Saccharomyces cerevisiae S288C: one gene and its partners. The protein of the gene in region 3 purifies or fractionates together with the protein of the main gene of each other region. This does not show direct contact. Each region holds a gene or a part of one and is shown on either strand. Other genes may lie near its edges.

What was found.
Region 1: the proteins of NOP2 (region 3) and CIC1 purify together in Saccharomyces cerevisiae (affinity purification with mass spectrometry; 8 studies listed by BioGRID). This does not show direct contact.
Region 2: the proteins of NOP2 (region 3) and NOC2 purify together in Saccharomyces cerevisiae (affinity purification with mass spectrometry; 8 studies listed by BioGRID, with this or other methods). This does not show direct contact.
Region 4: the proteins of NOP2 (region 3) and RRP1 purify together in Saccharomyces cerevisiae (affinity purification with mass spectrometry; 6 studies listed by BioGRID). This does not show direct contact.

What each region holds. Positions count from the first base shown.
Region 1 is NC_001140.6:208,234-213,532, forward strand, and holds CIC1 (Cic1p), read left to right. Parts: upstream 1-2,614; coding exon 2,615-3,745; downstream 3,746-5,299. Other genes in the region: divalent metal ion transporter SMF2, read left to right, coding at 1-1,070; YHR050W-A (uncharacterized protein), read left to right, coding at 1,242-1,412; COX6 (cytochrome c oxidase subunit VI), read left to right, coding at 1,472-1,918; YHR052C-B (uncharacterized protein), read right to left, coding at 4,286-4,459; metallothionein CUP1-1, read right to left, coding at 4,302-4,487; YHR054C (uncharacterized protein), read right to left, coding at 4,952-5,299. UniProt on the Saccharomyces cerevisiae protein: An adapter protein that specifically links the 26S proteasome to its substrate CDC4 which is one of the substrate recognition subunits of the SCF E3 ubiquitin ligase complex. Required for turnover of cell cycle regulatory proteins CDC4 and GRR1.
Region 2 is NC_001147.6:725,650-731,620, reverse strand, and holds NOC2 (mRNA-binding ribosome synthesis protein NOC2), read right to left. Parts: upstream 4,110-5,971; coding exon 1,977-4,109; downstream 1-1,976. Other genes in the region: DNA-directed RNA polymerase III core subunit RET1, read left to right, coding at 1-1,613; GEP3 (Gep3p), read left to right, coding at 4,387-5,971. UniProt on the Saccharomyces cerevisiae protein: Involved in the intranuclear transport of ribosomal precursors.
Region 3 is NC_001146.8:508,590-512,896, reverse strand, and holds NOP2 (rRNA (cytosine-C5-)-methyltransferase NOP2), read right to left. Parts: upstream 2,358-4,307; coding exon 501-2,357; downstream 1-500. Other genes in the region: actin-related protein ARP5, read left to right, coding at 1-229; tRNA 1-methyladenosine methyltransferase subunit GCD10, read left to right, coding at 2,685-4,121; MTQ1 (S-adenosylmethionine-dependent methyltransferase), read right to left, coding at 4,195-4,307. UniProt on the Saccharomyces cerevisiae protein: S-adenosyl-L-methionine-dependent methyltransferase that specifically methylates the C(5) position of cytosine 2870 (m5C2870) in 25S rRNA. Required for 60S ribosomal subunit synthesis and processing.
Region 4 is NC_001136.10:616,970-620,205, forward strand, and holds RRP1 (Rrp1p), read right to left. Parts: upstream 1,338-3,236; coding exon 501-1,337; downstream 1-500. Other genes in the region: translocon subunit SSS1, read right to left, coding at 1-201; mRNA splicing protein SLU7, read right to left, coding at 1,528-2,676. UniProt on the Saccharomyces cerevisiae protein: Required for 27S rRNA processing to 25S and 5.8S.

The DNA of each region.
Region 1 (5,299 bases), on a different chromosome or scaffold from region 3:
TCAGAATATTTGAAGCTTTTGTTTCTTTATTGGTGGTTCTTACCGTAGTTTGCTTTACTGTTGAACTGTTTTATGCCAAACTGGGACCTGCCAAAGAAATATTTTCTGGGTTCTTACCCAGTAAAGCCGTTTTTGAAGGTGATGGGTTATACTTAAGTCTGGCAATTCTGGGCGCCACGGTAATGCCTCATTCATTATATTTGGGGTCAGGTGTGGTTCAACCAAGATTAAGAGAGTATGATATCAAAAACGGACATTACTTGCCAGACGCGAATGATATGGATAACAATCACGATAATTACAGGCCATCCTATGAGGCCATCAGTGAAACTCTGCACTTTACTATAACGGAATTACTGATCTCGCTGTTCACGGTGGCATTATTTGTCAATTGTGCCATTCTTATCGTGTCTGGCGCTACACTATACGGGTCCACTCAAAATGCTGAGGAAGCTGACTTATTTTCTATTTACAACTTACTCTGTAGTACTCTTTCCAAGGGAGCGGGAACGGTATTCGTGCTGGCATTGTTGTTTTCAGGACAGAGTGCCGGTATCGTGTGTACGTTGAGTGGACAAATGGTTAGTGAAGGGTTCTTAAATTGGACTGTTTCTCCGGCATTGAGAAGATCCGCCACAAGAGCGGTAGCCATCACGCCTTGTTTGATTTTAGTGCTTGTAGCTGGACGTAGCGGCCTCTCTGGTGCACTAAATGCTTCCCAAGTGGTACTTTCTCTCTTGCTGCCTTTTGTTTCTGCACCTTTACTTTACTTCACTTCAAGCAAGAAGATTATGCGTGTACAGCTTAACCGTACCAAAGAACTTTCAAGAACTACAGACAAAAAACCCGTGGCCGACCGAACCGAAGATGATGAGACCATTGAGCTCGAAGAAATGGGCATAGGCAGCAGCTCACAGGAGCGCAGCTTAGTTTCTCCTGCTCCAGAATACAAAGACATGAGCAATGGAATGATCGTCACCGTGCTCGCAATCATAGTATGGTTGATTATCTCCGGACTGAACTTTTATATGTTACTGGGCTTTACTACGGGCAAAGAAGTACACCTCTAATATAACAATTCTTTAGACTAGTATAAGTATACATTTTATCCAAGAATAATAACAGAAAATTCCAATCAAAAAGTTGGTGTTAGGCTATACTGATGGCCGTATCGCTCCATACGAGCCAATCAGGGCCCCGCGCGTTATTTCCGCCGCTTACAGCTTTCTTTGAATCTCCCTATGAAAAGGGACCTAATTGGTCCGGTCAAAGCATTAATAAAGATCAACAATTGCTCTTGCTTATCAAGGTGCCAGATCTCAAGGTTACCTCATTTCTTTACATTTCATCCACATTTTAGCACACTTATTTATTATTACAATTTGAAAAATTGTATCACTTCTGAGACTTAGTAGCGGAGATAAACAGCCGAACAATTGTATTTGACACATAAACTAATAAATATACAACAATGTTATCAAGGGCCATATTCAGAAATCCAGTTATAAATAGAACTTTATTGAGAGCCAGACCTGGTGCTTATCATGCAACTAGATTGACTAAAAATACGTTTATTCAAAGTAGGAAGTATTCTGACGCACATGATGAAGAAACCTTTGAGGAATTCACCGCAAGATACGAAAAGGAGTTTGATGAAGCCTATGATTTGTTTGAAGTGCAAAGAGTGCTCAACAACTGTTTTTCCTATGATTTAGTTCCTGCTCCTGCTGTTATTGAAAAAGCTTTGAGGGCTGCCAGAAGAGTCAATGACTTACCTACCGCAATTAGAGTATTTGAGGCTTTGAAATACAAGGTGGAGAATGAAGACCAATACAAGGCCTACTTGGATGAATTGAAGGATGTCAGACAAGAATTGGGCGTTCCCTTAAAGGAAGAGCTATTTCCAAGCTCTTCTTAATAATAAGGAAAAAGCTACCACACAACGTCTGTAATTTGTTGTCCTTTTTTTATTTGTGGAAAATTCCTCAATTTGAAATAAGATTCGTATTTATTTTGTAAAACGATTTTAGTTTTTATTTTTTTTTTTTCTTCCCTTTTACCTTATTATTTGTTTTACCCTTTATGGATATTCATCCACTCAGAAACTAATATATCAAAATCAACGATAAGATCACAAGAGGTGAAATAAGAAAAGTAAAAGAAAAATATTTAAATTTAACCATTATGATTTCCACTTTGTTTTCTCTACTCTATTACTTGAACAAACTTTATTTTTGGTAATGAGGGCTGGTCACAGATTACCTTTAATATCCTTTGTTAGTAGCTTTTTTGTGTTCTATTTCAGGAAAGAAGAATGGGAAAAATAATAAAACAATAAATAACTATATAAAAAACAAAAACCTAGAATATACCATTAAAGAATTACTATTCTATTCTGTGCTTCACCGTTGCGTCAATAAATGTGAAGTTGATGTCACTTCATACTAAAAAAATTAAAGACAATTTCCTGAAAAAAATTTTTCCACTGGAGCTCATCGCAAATTTTGAAAAGTAACAAAAAGCGTTTGTATACTGCATAAAGAATAGTGTCTGTTTTATAAGAAATATTAGACAGCAGGCAGATAAACCTACGTTCCAGACTATAAAGTATAAAATGGCTAAAAAGAGTAACTCAAAGAAATCTACGCCTGTAAGTACACCAAGCAAAGAAAAGAAGAAGGTTATTGAAAAGAAATCTTCCACAGCCATTCCTAGGGAAAGAGTTATTAAAGCTGTCAACGAGCTTATAAAATTCACTTCCAAGCCACAAGATGAAAATAATGAAGAAGGAAATAACGGTAAGAAAAACCTATTGGAAGATGATGAAGAAGAATTGAAGAAAGATCTGCAATTAATCGTAGTAAATAATAAATCATTCACCGGTACTTCCAAATCATTCAAATTGAAATTACTAAATGTCAAACATTCGTTTTACAAGCCTTGGAAAGAAGCCAGTGCAACAGCGGTTAAGGATTTCAAAGTTTTATTAATTTTGAAGGATTCTGATATTAAGAAAGTTTCAGAAGATGATTTATTTGATCAATTAGATTCAGAAGGAATCAAGGTTGATGAAATCATTTGCGGGAAAGACTTAAAGACCGTTTACAAGGCATATGAGGCTAGAAACGCTTTTATATCTCAGTTTTCTTTGATTTTGGCTGACGACAGTATAGTTACATCTTTGCCAAAACTTATGGGAGGCAAAGCCTACAACAAAGTAGAAACTACTCCTATATCAATTAGAACACATGCAAATAAGGAATTTTCCTTGACCACTTTGACGAACAATATCAAAAAGGTTTACATGAATCAGTTGCCCGTTAAACTTCCAAGAGGTACCACGTTGAATGTCCATTTGGGTAATTTAGAATGGTTAAGGCCAGAAGAGTTTGTAGATAACGTTGAATTAATTTCTGAACAGTTAATCAAAGCATACCAAATCAGATCCATTTTTATCAAGACCAATAGGTCGCCCGTATTGCCATTATACTATAACCAGGACGTTCTTGATGAACTTGAAGCTAAAAAGGACAAAATCGAAGAAACCCACGAAGATGACATGGTCACCATTGATGGTGTACAAGTTCATTTGTCTACCTTCAACAAGGGTTTGATGGAAATCGCCAATCCTTCCGAATTGGGTTCAATTTTCTCTAAACAAATTAACAATGCAAAAAAGAGATCTTCTAGCGAGCTTGAAAAAGAATCTAGCGAGTCAGAAGCTGTCAAGAAGGCTAAAAGTTAATTTGTTTCCTCCTTATCTATCTTTTCTCTCATTTTTTTCTTGTGAAGAAAAAAATTTGAATTTCATAGAGTGCGGTGCATATGTATATATCTATATATGTTTGAAGTGTATATTAAAAATAAAGTCATTATTTGAATATTGGTTTCTCGGTCTAAGAGCTTATACGTTTTAGACTGATCTGTTGTACTATCCGCTTCAAATAAATAGATCATTGAAAGTGACGGGGATAACAGCATTTTACCTTTAAAAGACGTTCTCATAATACATTTTAGGATTAATACATATGCTTTTTTTTTATTCGAAATCTGGGGATTCTATACAGAGTTGTAAGTTAGGCAAACTAGAATTTGGTAATAATATTTTATTCTTGGGGCGACATATGGAGATACTTTATTTCCTTTTCTTAATTATTAACGTATACCTATAAATTAACAAAGTATCTAAACAAAATACATAAGTGTACTCAAACTGAGTAGAATCGTCGATTAAACTTCCTTCTCCTTTTAAAAATTAAAAACAGCAAATAGTTAGATGAATATATTAAAGACTATTCGTTTCATTTCCCAGAGCAGCATGACTTCTTGGTTTCTTCAGACTTGTTACCGCAGGGGCATTTGTCGTCGCTGTTACACCCCGTTGGGCAGCTACATGATTTTTGGCATTGTTCATTATTTTTGCAGCTACCACATTGGCATTGGCACTCATGACCTTCATTTTGGAAGTTAATTAATTCGCTGAACATTTTATGTGATGATTGATTGATTGATTGTACAGTTTGTTTTTCTTAATATCTATTTCGATGACTTCTATATGATATTGCACTAACAAGAAGATATTATAATGCAATTGATACAAGACAAGGAGTTATTTGCTTCTCTTTTATATGATTCTGACAATCCATATTGCGTTGGTAGTCTTTTTTGCTGGAACGGTTCAGCGGAAAAGACGCATCGCTCTTTTTGCTTCTAGAAGAAATGCCAGCAAAAGAATCTCTTGACAGTGACTGACAGCAAAAATGTCTTTTTCTAACTAGTAACAAGGCTAAGATATCAGCCTGAAATAAAGGGTGGTGAAGTAATAATTAAATCATCCGTATAAACCTATACACATATATGAGGAAAAATAATACAAAAGTGTTTTAAATACAGATACATACATGAACATATGCACGTATAGCGCCCAAATGTCGGTAATGGGATCGGCTTACTAATTATAAAATGCATCATAGAAATCGTTGAAGTTTGCCGTAGTAATACCCAGATTATCAGATTCCAAATCCTTGTCAATAATTATACTCCTTTGGACAACTTCTCTTTCCATTAAAAAATCTGAAATCTCCTTAAATTTTAAATAGATTCTGTTCAGTTCACTAACGGGGAATTTCAAGAGAACATTTTTGTTCTTCGCCGACTGACTATAATCTGTAACATTATTGTTATCAGAGTTTCTCGCAAAATTTTGTTTTTTCTTGCTAAATCTCAGCATATATTTAATCAGATTCAAAACCTTGTTGAAACCTTTAATAGATTTGAAACTTCCGTTGCTATTCATTTC
Region 2 (5,971 bases), on a different chromosome or scaffold from region 3:
TCATTGTTTCTGATGGTCAATCTCGCGTGAAAGATATTCATTTACGCAAATTATTAGATGGTGAGTTAGATTTCGATGATTTTTTGAAACTCGGATTGGTGGAATATTTAGATGTCAATGAAGAAAACGATTCTTACATTGCATTGTATGAAAAAGATATAGTTCCCTCGATGACACATTTAGAAATCGAGCCATTCACAATTTTAGGTGCTGTTGCTGGTTTAATTCCATATCCACATCATAACCAATCCCCTCGTAACACATATCAATGTGCGATGGGTAAGCAAGCGATTGGTGCAATCGCCTACAATCAATTCAAGAGAATAGATACATTATTATACTTGATGACTTATCCACAACAGCCAATGGTGAAAACCAAAACAATTGAATTGATCGATTATGATAAATTACCTGCTGGTCAAAATGCTACGGTTGCTGTCATGTCCTATTCTGGTTATGATATTGAAGATGCTTTGGTTTTGAATAAGTCATCCATCGATAGAGGTTTCGGCCGTTGCGAAACACGTAGAAAGACAACCACTGTTTTGAAAAGATATGCGAACCATACCCAAGATATCATCGGTGGTATGAGAGTTGATGAAAATGGAGATCCTATCTGGCAACATCAATCTCTTGGTCCTGATGGTCTAGGTGAGGTGGGTATGAAGGTCCAAAGTGGACAAATTTATATAAATAAGTCAGTTCCAACTAACTCAGCAGACGCCCCAAACCCAAACAACGTAAACGTCCAAACTCAATATAGGGAAGCTCCGGTAATATATAGAGGTCCAGAACCTTCTCACATTGACCAAGTTATGATGTCTGTTTCGGATAACGATCAAGCTTTAATCAAAGTTTTGCTAAGACAAAACAGAAGGCCAGAATTAGGTGACAAATTTTCTTCTAGACATGGTCAAAAAGGTGTTTGTGGTATTATTGTAAAGCAAGAAGACATGCCCTTCAACGATCAAGGTATAGTTCCAGACATTATCATGAACCCTCACGGTTTTCCATCTCGTATGACTGTGGGTAAAATGATCGAACTGATATCGGGTAAAGCTGGTGTATTGAATGGTACATTGGAATATGGTACTTGTTTTGGTGGTTCTAAACTTGAAGATATGTCTAAGATTTTGGTAGACCAAGGTTTCAACTATTCCGGTAAGGATATGTTATATTCAGGTATAACAGGTGAGTGTTTACAGGCTTACATCTTTTTTGGCCCCATTTACTATCAAAAGTTAAAGCATATGGTCTTAGATAAGATGCATGCAAGAGCTCGTGGTCCAAGGGCTGTTTTGACACGTCAACCAACTGAGGGTAGATCTAGAGATGGTGGTCTGAGGTTGGGTGAGATGGAGAGGGATTGTGTAATCGCGTATGGTGCTTCACAATTGCTGTTAGAAAGGTTGATGATTAGTTCAGATGCTTTTGAAGTTGATGTCTGCGATAAATGTGGATTAATGGGCTATAGTGGTTGGTGTACTACCTGCAAAAGTGCTGAGAATATTATTAAGATGACTATTCCATATGCAGCAAAACTGTTATTCCAGGAATTATTATCCATGAACATAGCCCCAAGATTAAGATTGGAAGATATCTTCCAGCAGTAAGAAATCATATATCTTGTACTAAATTTTGCGTTATGTTAGCAATCATATCTATTTCGTGAGGAACTTTAAGAGAGTTGAACGATTTCGAAAATTATATAACAGTAAACCGTACTTCTTTCATTTTTGTACCTTGCTTTACATCATTACTTTTTATAAGATCCATCGAACGTTTGACGTGTTTTCTATCCATAAACCGGCCAAAATATAAAAATATCCAGCTGACAAGAGAAAGCTTGGAGTGCTCACATGTTAGCACATGTGAGCACAATGATATATACGCTTTAAAAAAGACTTTTCTTTATTTTACACATTTATAGACTTAACTATTGAATTCAAGACAAAAAATCAAATCTTGCTGAGTTGTTAAGCGTCTGACATTTCAACATCTTCGTTGTCATCATCACTTTCCAGACTGTTTAATAATTTTGCTTCTTCTGTTTCTCTTTCTTTGTCTTGTTCTTCCATACTTTCTCTCATTAATCTGGCCTTTTCTTCCTTAACTTCACGTTGTACTGCAACATAAGAACCTAAAGGTGTTTTATTCCAAGCTACATCATTCAAAAATCTTGAAACTTCAGATTTGTTTGTTGGCCCAAATTCAACATCTGATCTCTTTTCTTGGATGAATGTGCTGTTTTGGTTCAATTTTTCTACAACAGTTGATAAACGTTTGTTAAGTTTGACATTAGTTGAAGTCTTGATGTAACGGCGTAAAGAGATAATAACCGGTGTTACAAGTTCAGGAAATGCAATGTTTTTACAGTACAGAGCAAAATAATCGCCCAATAAGTCCACAAACTGTTCTGACAAACCCTCTTGGTATATTTTTGTATTCAGATAAGCTTGCGTACATTTGATGTTGTGCTCAAAATCGAAAGCAGCCAAGTTAGGGCTCTTTTTGGGTGCCTTAGTGAAAGCCGTTGAGGTTAAAATTTCAGAAAGTAAAGGATATATTGGAATAAAAACACCACTATTTTGAGAAAGTCTAATAAGTGATTTAATCAAATAAAATCTTAATGGGAAGAATTGTGGTGTTGGGATTAATCTGATTACACCCAAAGTAACCTGAACCAATGGGTAAATTAATTGTCGTAAAGGAGATTCACTGCCATTTTCCTTTTCTGGTTGACAAGCAAACGATAGTACACGAGACCAGAAATCCAAGGAGTGACAGAATTGCCAGTTGTATACAATCTTGTAAGCTTCTGCGGAATTAATTTTACTGGATTTTTTAGTTGTCGCGTTCATTGTATTTCTTAAATGAATTGCCAATTGCCTAATATACTCAAATCCAACTTGGTAACCTAGAACTTCATCGATACCGAACAATTCAGCTGCCGAATTTTTTTGAAAATTAATCAGTGGCATAGAACGCATATTCGTTTTACGACAACTTTTGATAAAAGTGGAGTACGTTGTTTTTAAGGTTGTTTCTAGCATAGACTTCTTGAACTCTTTGGTGGTATTGATCAAAAAGGCAAAAGAAGCAATCTGGGTTTCTAATTCTCTCGTTGTAGACCATACTCCAACAATTGATTTAATAAGCTCCTTTAAGATCCTTCTGTATGATAAAAGATAAGGCATCAATTCGTTGACAGAATGAAGAACTAATGCTGCTGTTTCCGTATTAGTAATATCATTCAATAAAATCAACAAAGAGCCAGCATGCGACTTGACAATGGACGAGACCCTGGAGACGTTACCTCCATTTGGTAAGGTCCTTGCGCCTTTTACAATCTTGTATGGGGCCATCTTTTGAATCGCTTGTGGTACATCTTTCAAGACCATGAACATCAATTCGTGGAATGCTTTCTCATCAGTGATAGCATATTTATAGTCTTCGATGTTTTCTTCCTTGTTCAAATTTACAGCAACCTTGAAAGCACTGATTATGTTCCTTAGTAATTTTAAGCTTGGAGAATCATGAAGTTGTTTTTTCCATTTCCTAACCAATTTCAAAGAAAGCTCAATTTTTTCCTTTTCCAGCTCCATTTGTTCAGATTTTTCTTCAATATTACTGTTTCTTTCAGCATCTTCACCTTCATCTTGACTATCAATTCCATCCAATGGATTGGTACCTGCGAAGTCCAATAAATCTTTATCATTTTCCTCCAAATACTTATAAAATTCGGGATCCTTTTCGGCCAACTTTGCCATGCTTTGTCCCATGTCTTCCTCCTCTTCGGAAGAGGAGGAATCTTCATCAGATTGCTCTTTCGTAGTTTTTTTCTTCAATTTTTTATTCTCTTTTGGAATTTCGATGCCCTTTTCAAAAAAAGTTTCGACAGACATGTCCTTAAAAACCTCTTCCTTTGCAGATTTTTTCAACTGCTGTTGTTCCCTAGTACCAGCAGCATCGGCCTTTTCCTGATCAGTTTTGTTGCCACGACGGCCTTGGATTCTCTTCTTTTGGATCTTTTCCTTTCTTCTTTGGTCTAGAGTATGCTTCAAATGCTTCGATTGAAACTTCTTGGTCGATTTAGAAACTTTACCCATCTCCACTTATTCTATTGTTGACCTTCTCTATCTCTCTTACAATTCAAAAATTAGTATAAATGAATTTACCCATGTACAAGTATTCTGTTTCTCTATTTTCTCTGTAAATATCATGCTCATCTCATCGGAAGAAAAAATTCAGAAAATTTTTCAAAACTCGTCGAAGATGATAACTACTATTTGATGTTATGGGTCAAGATACATTTAACAGAGCAATATTAACGAAGGACCTTCCTAGTAACACGTCTAATTACTTTGAACAATTCAATATGCGGGAATGTTGAATCTGTGTCATGCTCTTCGAGGCGTACGTCAGTTTTCCTGTTCTGTGATTGTGAAAGTGAAATGTGCGTCATGTTCCATAAAACTACAGGATCAGGATCCTAGTAAACCAGGATATTATACGAAGCCAAAAAGTCTACCCGACTCAAAACTAAATCCTGACCTCCAAGATCTGAAGTATTTGCTATTCAGTCAAGACATACAGCTCTCGAAACAGGCAACTCAAAATGATCCTGACCTCAAAACCAAAAGAGATTTACTATTGAGAGTGATTTGCAAAAGGTGCAGTAATGCCCTTCATCATAACAATTATAACCCGGAAGAGTTTCCCGAAAGCACATTAAATGATATTCTGAACTACGTCCCCAGAGGCTCAAATGTTATGCATATTGTCCCCTTTGTAGAATTTCCCTTACATTTAGACCCCAATGTTTTGAAACGAAATGATTTAGATACTACATTAGTGTTAACGAAAAGCGATCAAGTTTTTAAAGATAAAAATGCTGTCAGCAAAAAGGTTCCTATATTCATGAAGCAATTTTTAAAGAACACTTTAAGAATTGACTCAAATAAAACATTCGCCATATCTGCGCTGAAAAACTGGAACATATCCATGTTTTACAACTACTTTAAAAACTACACATATTTGCTAGGCAACCCTAATGTTGGTAAATCAACTTTGATCAATACTCTACTACAGAAATATCTTGGATATAAGGTTAAAATTGATTCTACTGGGAAAATTAACTCCCCCTCTGAAGAAGTGATGCAAGAAGCTTTTACGAACCCGAAGAATTTTTTCAAGATTCAAGCTGCTGGTGTATCACATATTCCCAATTTAACTAGATCCGTACAAGCCTACCAAGTTGGAGGTAAAATACTTTTTGATCTTCCAGGCTATTCAACTTCCACCTCCAGATTACGCCTAGAAGAACTAATCGACGAGCGTTGGCTTCAAAGGCTGCGAAAAACCGATTTATTCAATCGGAAGCATATAAAACAGAAGACTTATGAGTCTATGAAGGGCACATCACAGGGAGGCTGTTATACCGTGGGAGGGATTTTCTACCTGGTACCTCCGAAAGGATCCATAAATCAGATTGTGAAATACATACCAGGACCATCAAAAACATTCAAGAACATTGAAAAAGGTATTGATGTATTCAACTCGTGCAATTCATCATCTGGCACACATCCGTTATCACGGTATTGTGGAATTAAAAGCGTTATATGCGAAAAAAGCCAGTACAAAAGGTACGCAATACCTCCATTTATTGGAAGTATAGAGATCGTTCTGAAAGATATAGGATATATTTTATTAAGGACAACTGGGAGGTATGAGTTCAAAGGACTACATGAGATATGGATACCTAGGGGTATCCAAGTAGGTATAAGGGAACCGCTAGAAAACTTGATTGAGTCTGGCTACCAGCGTTACATTGAAACAAATGGTAAAGAGTCAAGCTGTCCCAGAGATAGACCGATCATCAGTTCCCTGTATGAGATGGCCCCGGATGAAGCTGATACTTTGAACGCAGTGAAGAAGTCGTATTTAGAAAAAACCGAGAAAGATTTATCTG
Region 3 (4,307 bases):
GAAAGAACGTATTGTGAAGGAATTCACTGGATTCCTTCCTACCGGTACCAATATCACTGTAAATATGTCTTCAGATCCTTCATTGGATGCCTGGAAGGGTATGGCAGCTCTAGCACGAAACGAAGAACAGTATAGGAAAACAGTTATCAGTAAGAAAGAATACGAAGAGTACGGTCCAGAGTACATCAAAGAGCATAAGTTAGGGAATACGAAGTATTTTGAAGACTAAGGAGACAGCAAACTGAAACGCCTTAAAAACAAAAAAAGAGAAATAAATAGAGATATATGTAATACTATATTGGCAACGAATATTAATAAGTAATATCATCGCCTTTTTTCTTAGTGCTGTTTACAAATCGGCTTTATTATTTCTATTTTGAATTTAATATACAGTGAGACATATTTGAAATTGATATATATATATATATATATATATGTAGACAGAGAAAGATTAGAGAGAGAAAACTATGCTAACATGATGCCACTACGTTTGTGGGAACTTATTTTTCGTTAGAAGGTCTTTTAGCTTTTGGATTGACACCCTTTTTCAAAAGATTGTTTTTCACAGACTTTTCAATGTACTTATCGTCTTCTTCGTCCTCGAAGGTTGCGAAGTCAGAGTGAATGATACCTTCTTCCAAAGCTTCCTTTCTAGCAGCAGTTTCCTTTTCTTTTGCACTTGCTTGGTTATCATCAAACGAAGATGGACCGATCTTTTGGAATTTAGCGACAAAGAACCCATCGACGTTGTACGTATGTGGATAGTACCTCCTCGCTAATTTCACACTAGGATGAAACTTTTTGCCTCTGTAACTAGTAAACGCTTCTTTACCGATCGCTAAACCAGTATCGACTAACTTGACATTCGGTCTTTTTCTCAATGCATAGTCTATGACAGCTTCGTCCTCTTCCACTGCAACAGAACATGTCGAATATACTATTACACCACCATGTTTCGAGTTGCAATCAACAGAATCAATGGCGGATAGAAGCAATTGTTTTTGTAGATGTGGAATTTGAATGAAGTCCTTCTCGGTACGAGACACCTTGACAGATTGATCCTTACCGATAACACCAGTACCGGAACATGGGGCATCCAGTAAAATTCTGTCAAAACCTCCAATTACCTTAGGGAACTCACGGGCATCGTAATTGCATACAATAGTGTTGGTACAGCCTAGACGGTGGATATTAGCAATTAAAGATTTTGTTCTAGATTTATTGGCGTCGTTAGCGAAAACACAACCTGTGTTTTTCATCATAGCTGATATATAAGTGGTCTTACCACCTGGAGCAGCTGCCATATCCAAGATACGCTCATTTTCATGAGGATCTAGAGCAATAACTGGTAGAAAAGATGATGCCGCTTGTAAAATATAGTGACCTGCCAAATATTCTGGCGTAGCACCAATTGGGACTTGGGAATCGAATATTTGAAGACCAACTTTAGTCCAAGAACCAATAGGTTGTAGATTAACACCTCTATTCACAAGAGTTTGAGCTAAGTCTCTCCTTCTGGTCTTCAAGGTGTTGGTTCTGATGGTTATTGGTCTTGCAATTTCATTGGCTTCGAAAAACTCCATCGCCTCTGCTGGTGAGAATAGATTGAATAACTTTTCCGCCAAAAATGGTGTATAACCAAAGTACTCACAAATATCTTTCAAAAGTCTGTCAACGTATTCTCCTCTCGATCTGCCTTCTGCACCAAGAGTCTTAAAATTTTCCAAAACCTTTACAATTTCAATCATTCTTGTTCTTGTGGAAGTTAAATTAGGAGTTTCTTGTGCCATCATTTCTTCCTGCTCCTCAGTGGGCAATATGTCTGCTCTTGGTTGCATGTTCTCCGCTTCCACTAACTCCATTTCGGCTTCTTCAGCTTCTTCAGCTTCTTCTTCATCAAGTTTCTTAGAAAGAGCTTCCATGTTTTGTGCATTTAGTTCTTCAAGATCAGCCTCATCGTCGTCATCTGAAAAAATTGGGTGGGCGTCATTATCTTCATCTTCATCGTAATCATATTCTTGTTCCAAGTCAAATTCATCTTTTAGTTCTTCATCCACCAATCCTGCTTCATCGTCATCTTCTTCATCATCAAATAAAGATTTCCTGGCTTTTGATAATTCTTCAAGATCAACTTCTGGCAAATCCTTATCCTCTTCAACAACTTCTTCCTCCTCTTTTCTAGATTTCTTGAATGGCTTCGACTTCTTTTTCTTTCTATCAGAAACTTCATCCCCTTGCGTGGTAGAAGGTCTCTTTCCTTTTTCTAGCTTTCTATTAGCCTTCTTTTCCTTTCTTGCCTGAAACTCCTCCAGGGTTGGTGGGGCGGCTTGCTTGTTCTTATGACGTCTACTACCCATTTCCTATTATATGTATATGTAATTCTAATATTAGCCAACACAAGGGGAATTCCGCCAGAATTACAAATCTATATACCTTAGCGACAACTGTATTTGCAGCTCAGCTCATCTTAAACTTATTCTGCGATGAGATGAAAATTTTTTTCAGAAAACGTGAAACTGGGTAACGGTTTTGTAAAATCTGAAAAATTTCATCAAAAAAAAAAAAAAAGTCGATGAGGTGTATAATAACAATAATAATATTCAACTTTAAATTCTTTGGCACGTTGGATCCTACTCACATTGTTGCAAACGAATTGGACAAAAAAACTTTGAATTTAGTGCACAATGAATGCTTTGACAACCATAGATTTTAATCAGCACGTTATCGTCCGGCTGCCATCAAAAAATTACAAGATAGTGGAACTAAAGCCCAACACCTCTGTATCATTAGGAAAATTCGGTGCTTTCGAGGTTAATGACATAATTGGTTATCCTTTCGGGTTGACTTTCGAGATATATTATGATGGCGAAGAGGTTTCATCCGATGAAAATAGAGATTCGAAACCAAAGAACAAAATTCCCATCGGGAAAGTAAGGCTATTATCGCAGGAGATCAAAGATGTCAATAATGATAAAGACGATGGTCAAAGCGAGCCTCCTTTATCTATTAAGGAAAAATCTGTGTCTCTTGAATTGTCTAGCATTGACAGCAGTGCTACGAATCAGAATCTGGTTAACATGGGCAGCAAGGCCCAAGAGTTAACCGTTGAAGAAATTGAAAAAATGAAACAAGAATCTTTATCTAGTAAAGAAATAATCGACAAAATTATCAAATCTCACAAAAGTTTTCACAACAAGACCGTATATTCTCAAGAGAAATATGTGAATAGGAAGAAACAAAAATTCGCCAAGTACTTCACCGTTGAGTATTTAAGTAGCTCTAACCTTTTACAATTCTTAATCGACAAAGGCGATATCCAAAGGGTATTGGATATGTCTCAGGAATCGATGGGGATGCTGTTAAATCTTGCGAACATCCAATCAGAAGGCAACTATCTCTGTATGGATGAAACGGGTGGGTTATTGGTTTACTTTCTGTTGGAAAGAATGTTTGGCGGTGACAATGAAAGCAAATCCAAGGGCAAAGTCATAGTTATTCACGAAAATGAACATGCCAACTTGGATTTGCTGAAGTTTGCTAATTATTCTGAGAAATTTATTAAAGAGCATGTACACACCATTTCTCTATTAGATTTTTTTGAACCGCCTACACTACAAGAGATTCAGAGCAGATTTACACCATTACCTAAAGAAGAAGCCCGTGCATTAAAAGGTGGTAAGAAAAACTCGTACTACCGAAAACTCAGATGGTACAATACACAATGGCAAATTTTAGAACTAACAGGAGAATTCCTATATGACGGTCTTGTAATGGCTACTACACTACATTTACCAACACTAGTGCCAAAGTTGGCCGAAAAAATCCATGGTTCAAGGCCGATTGTATGCTATGGTCAATTCAAAGAAACTTTGTTGGAATTAGCTCATACTTTATATTCAGACCTCAGGTTTTTAGCACCATCAATTTTGGAAACTAGATGTAGGCCGTACCAAAGTATAAGGGGTAAGCTACACCCTCTGATGACCATGAAAGGTGGTGGTGGATATCTAATGTGGTGTCACAGAGTCATCCCTGCTCCTGAACCTGTATCGGAAAACGCGACTGCAGCTGACTCCAGTGAAAAGCTTGCTGAACATGGAGCTAAGAAACAAAAAATATAAATGTCCACAGAGTGTTCCGTTTGATAACTTCCAACAAAAAAACCTGAGAATATATATATTTACATTTATATACTTAGTTGCAATTAGCTTTGTGCCCACTGAGTGCGGTTGCTAAATGTCTTATAGTCCCAAAGGATGCAAAAATCTGGTGTAGTATTCGCCCTTTGGGAGTGGCCTTAAACCCAT
Region 4 (3,236 bases), on a different chromosome or scaffold from region 3:
GGCGTAACCAATGATACCGACTGCAATAAAACCAATACCAACAGCCTTGACAATCTTGGTGTATTCCTTCAAATCAGGTTTCTTACACTTGGCCAAGAATTGAGTACCTTCTCTGACAAATTCTACAGGTGCTTCAACCAGCTTTTCAACCTGGTTGTTGCTCTGCTTTTTCTCTTCACCTTTTTCACTAGCTCTAGCCATTTTATTTTTCAATGTTATACGTGATTTTATCTTTGGTAAACTAGCGTAGTGCGGACAATGGACACGAGTTATGGACAATACACGCCAATCTGTACTATTTTCCTTGTTTAATTTAATCACTAGTATTCTTTCATTTCAAAACGAAAAAAAAATAAAAAAAATGTTGCGAGGAAAAAAAGGCGACGTGTTTCGCATTCCGCCAATATCCACAGAGGGTAATGAATTTTTCGTACTATAGATATACAACTACAATTTATATGAGCGACTTACGATTACTTACATACTACCGCCAGGAAGAATCAAAATCCCTTCCACTCTTCCTCTTCCTCTTCTTCAGATTCGTTACTGGAATCATTATGTTGCGTTTCGCCTTCAAGAATATCCCAGGAAACAAGTCTGGTGTCACTGAATAGGTCTTCTTTGATCTTCTCTCTCAACACCTTACTGTTATTGTAATCTGCCACGATATCTTGGAAAATTGCGATAACATCGGCTAGTGGCGTTTTTTTTGCGCTCTCTGCAATTTTGCGCATCTCTTCCTCTTTGTTTTCCTCGTCTTCATCGTCTTCATCTCCATCTTTAAGCAATCTTTCCCATTCGTCCAGCAGAATATCGACGATATGAATTGGAATCCCTGTGTAGACCTTTGGACTTCCACTCAGAGGTAACCACCTCAACACTTTCTTAATATACTCGTCGACTAATTTTTTGTCCCAGTTTCTGGACTGCAAATACTTCAATTGACTGAATAATACCCTTCTTATCAATAGAAGATACTTATCCAACCTATATCTGTCAATGTTAAACCATTCAAAGCACATGACCTTCCAAAACCCTCTGCTAAACTTTATAAATGCTTTATCGTTTGTGGTCAACTCATCTGCAGTGCTATTGTCCTTAGGATCAAAATATAATCCATGCAATTCACCTAATTCATTGGCTAAACGTTGCTGAGGTCTAGGACGGTCACTGAACCACATTGCATAGTAAAGACCCTTCCAAAGTTTATTGAATTCTATTTGTTTGTTCTCCTTGAACTGTTTAGCGGTTAGATATTTCTTTAACGCTTCGAGTGCATTTACCCTGGTTTTTCTGTTGTTCGACGATAATTGTTTAACAAAGTTGGAGGTCTCCATTGTGAATGTTCTCACTCGATTTTTTAAGTGTCTATTTAGTGTATTATGCCGTGAATGCGCAAGATATATACGTATACTTAAGAATGTAGTTTATATTTGACAATTTTTTTCAGCTCATCGCATTTTTTTTTCTAAATTCTTTACCTCTCGTGCTCCGTGACTAGGATATTGGAAATTCAAATGATATAACTTAACCATATAAATCTTTTAAGTGGTTCCGTTGTTCCTCAGATTGCTTTGTACCATCTACTTTCCTAGCTTCCAGATCTCCAATGCTGACAATCTTGGGCTGCTTGGTTTCTTCTTGTTCCCGTTTTTTCTTCAGATATTCATATTTAGTAGGATTGGCGACTAAAACATGTTGTACTTTTTCCTTATCCTCAATTTCATCACGTATACCCATTTCCTTAGCGTGAGATCTAGCAAACTGGTTCAATTCGTTTAATTTTAGGCCTTCACCTGTCAAATGTCTGCGGAACATTTTTGATTTTTCATCAACTGCGCCCAGTGTTTCAGTTTTGTACAATCTTGATTTAGGATCATAATTACTCTCCGTTGAATTTATGTCGTTCAAGTAAGCAGCCTTATCTTCTCTCAATCTCGTTGATGTCCTATACAACTGAGAATTATCAGCATCATCTTTCTTCAATGAACCTACGGAATCCTTGTAAAGTTCTAACTTCATTAGTTCTATCTCTTCATCTGTATCCCATAGTGTTTCATCAGTTTGGGATTTGTCTTTTCCTTTTATTTTATTTCTTTTATCACGCTCCCACTTACTTATCAGTTCATTGTATTCTTTCCCTGAGTAACCGTACCATCTATCTTTTCTGGAGTCCCAGTCATCATCAGTAGCTCGTACTAAAACTGTGCCATTATTTTTTTGTGAATTTAAATCGGGAACAAGCTTCTGCATCTTACGAGGTTTTTCCATGCAGTCTTTCTCCTTATGCCCTGCTTCCCCACAATTCCTACAAAATGACAGCGAATGAGAATCTCGGACGGACATCTTCTGGGGTCTGATTAGTTTGAACTCATCCTTTATACCCATACCAATTTTTGGTTCTGAATTATTGTCAATATCTAAAGCACCCCCTTTTGCTTTTTGCCTATGATGCACCAAGTAGTCGCTTTTTTCTCCTCCTTCTGCAGTGCTCGTATCATCATTGCCGGGCTTCTTCCCTTCTTGTTCTTTGGGGGTATCCTTATAGTACCATGGTTGATTTCTAATATACCTGGGGATATGAATATTTTCATTTTTTTCTTTTGCTTGTTGTAGTTGCCTTTTATTTCTGTTAATAGTGCTTCGATTTTCGTTGTTTCTGCTGTTATTATTCATTATGTAATCCGATCGTTGTATTTCAGTGTAACTGGTATCTTTTTCAGAAGTGCTCGATAAATGATATACGCAGACTTGATTATTGATTTACTTGAAAGGCAAGCTATTCAATAGATAACGAAGGAGTTATCGTTATGGGTACTATTATTGTCTTTCCGCGTTCGAACTAGTCACTAGTTGTTCCAATGAAATGTACTTTAAAAAAACTCGACAACTTCTCCAATTAAATTGAAGAGTACGGCAGCTGAGGTTACCAACTCTTTTCTATATTTTAATTGTCACTAGGTATAAAAATCAAAAGTCTAGAAAAATGTATAAAAAATCTTCCCCGCCAGGACTTGAACCTGGAATCTTCTGGTTCGTAGCCAGACGCCGTGACCATTGGGCCACGAGGAACAAGATTTCTTGAAGTTATTGAAATACGGGATTTGCTGATACCAGAATTAATAAATTCAGACCGACTTCTCTTGTGGGGTGGTAATCATCATTTAAAGTGTGGTATCCTGCTTAGCCCGGACAAAGAAGTTATTTTAAAGATTTATTTGCCAATCTTCACAACT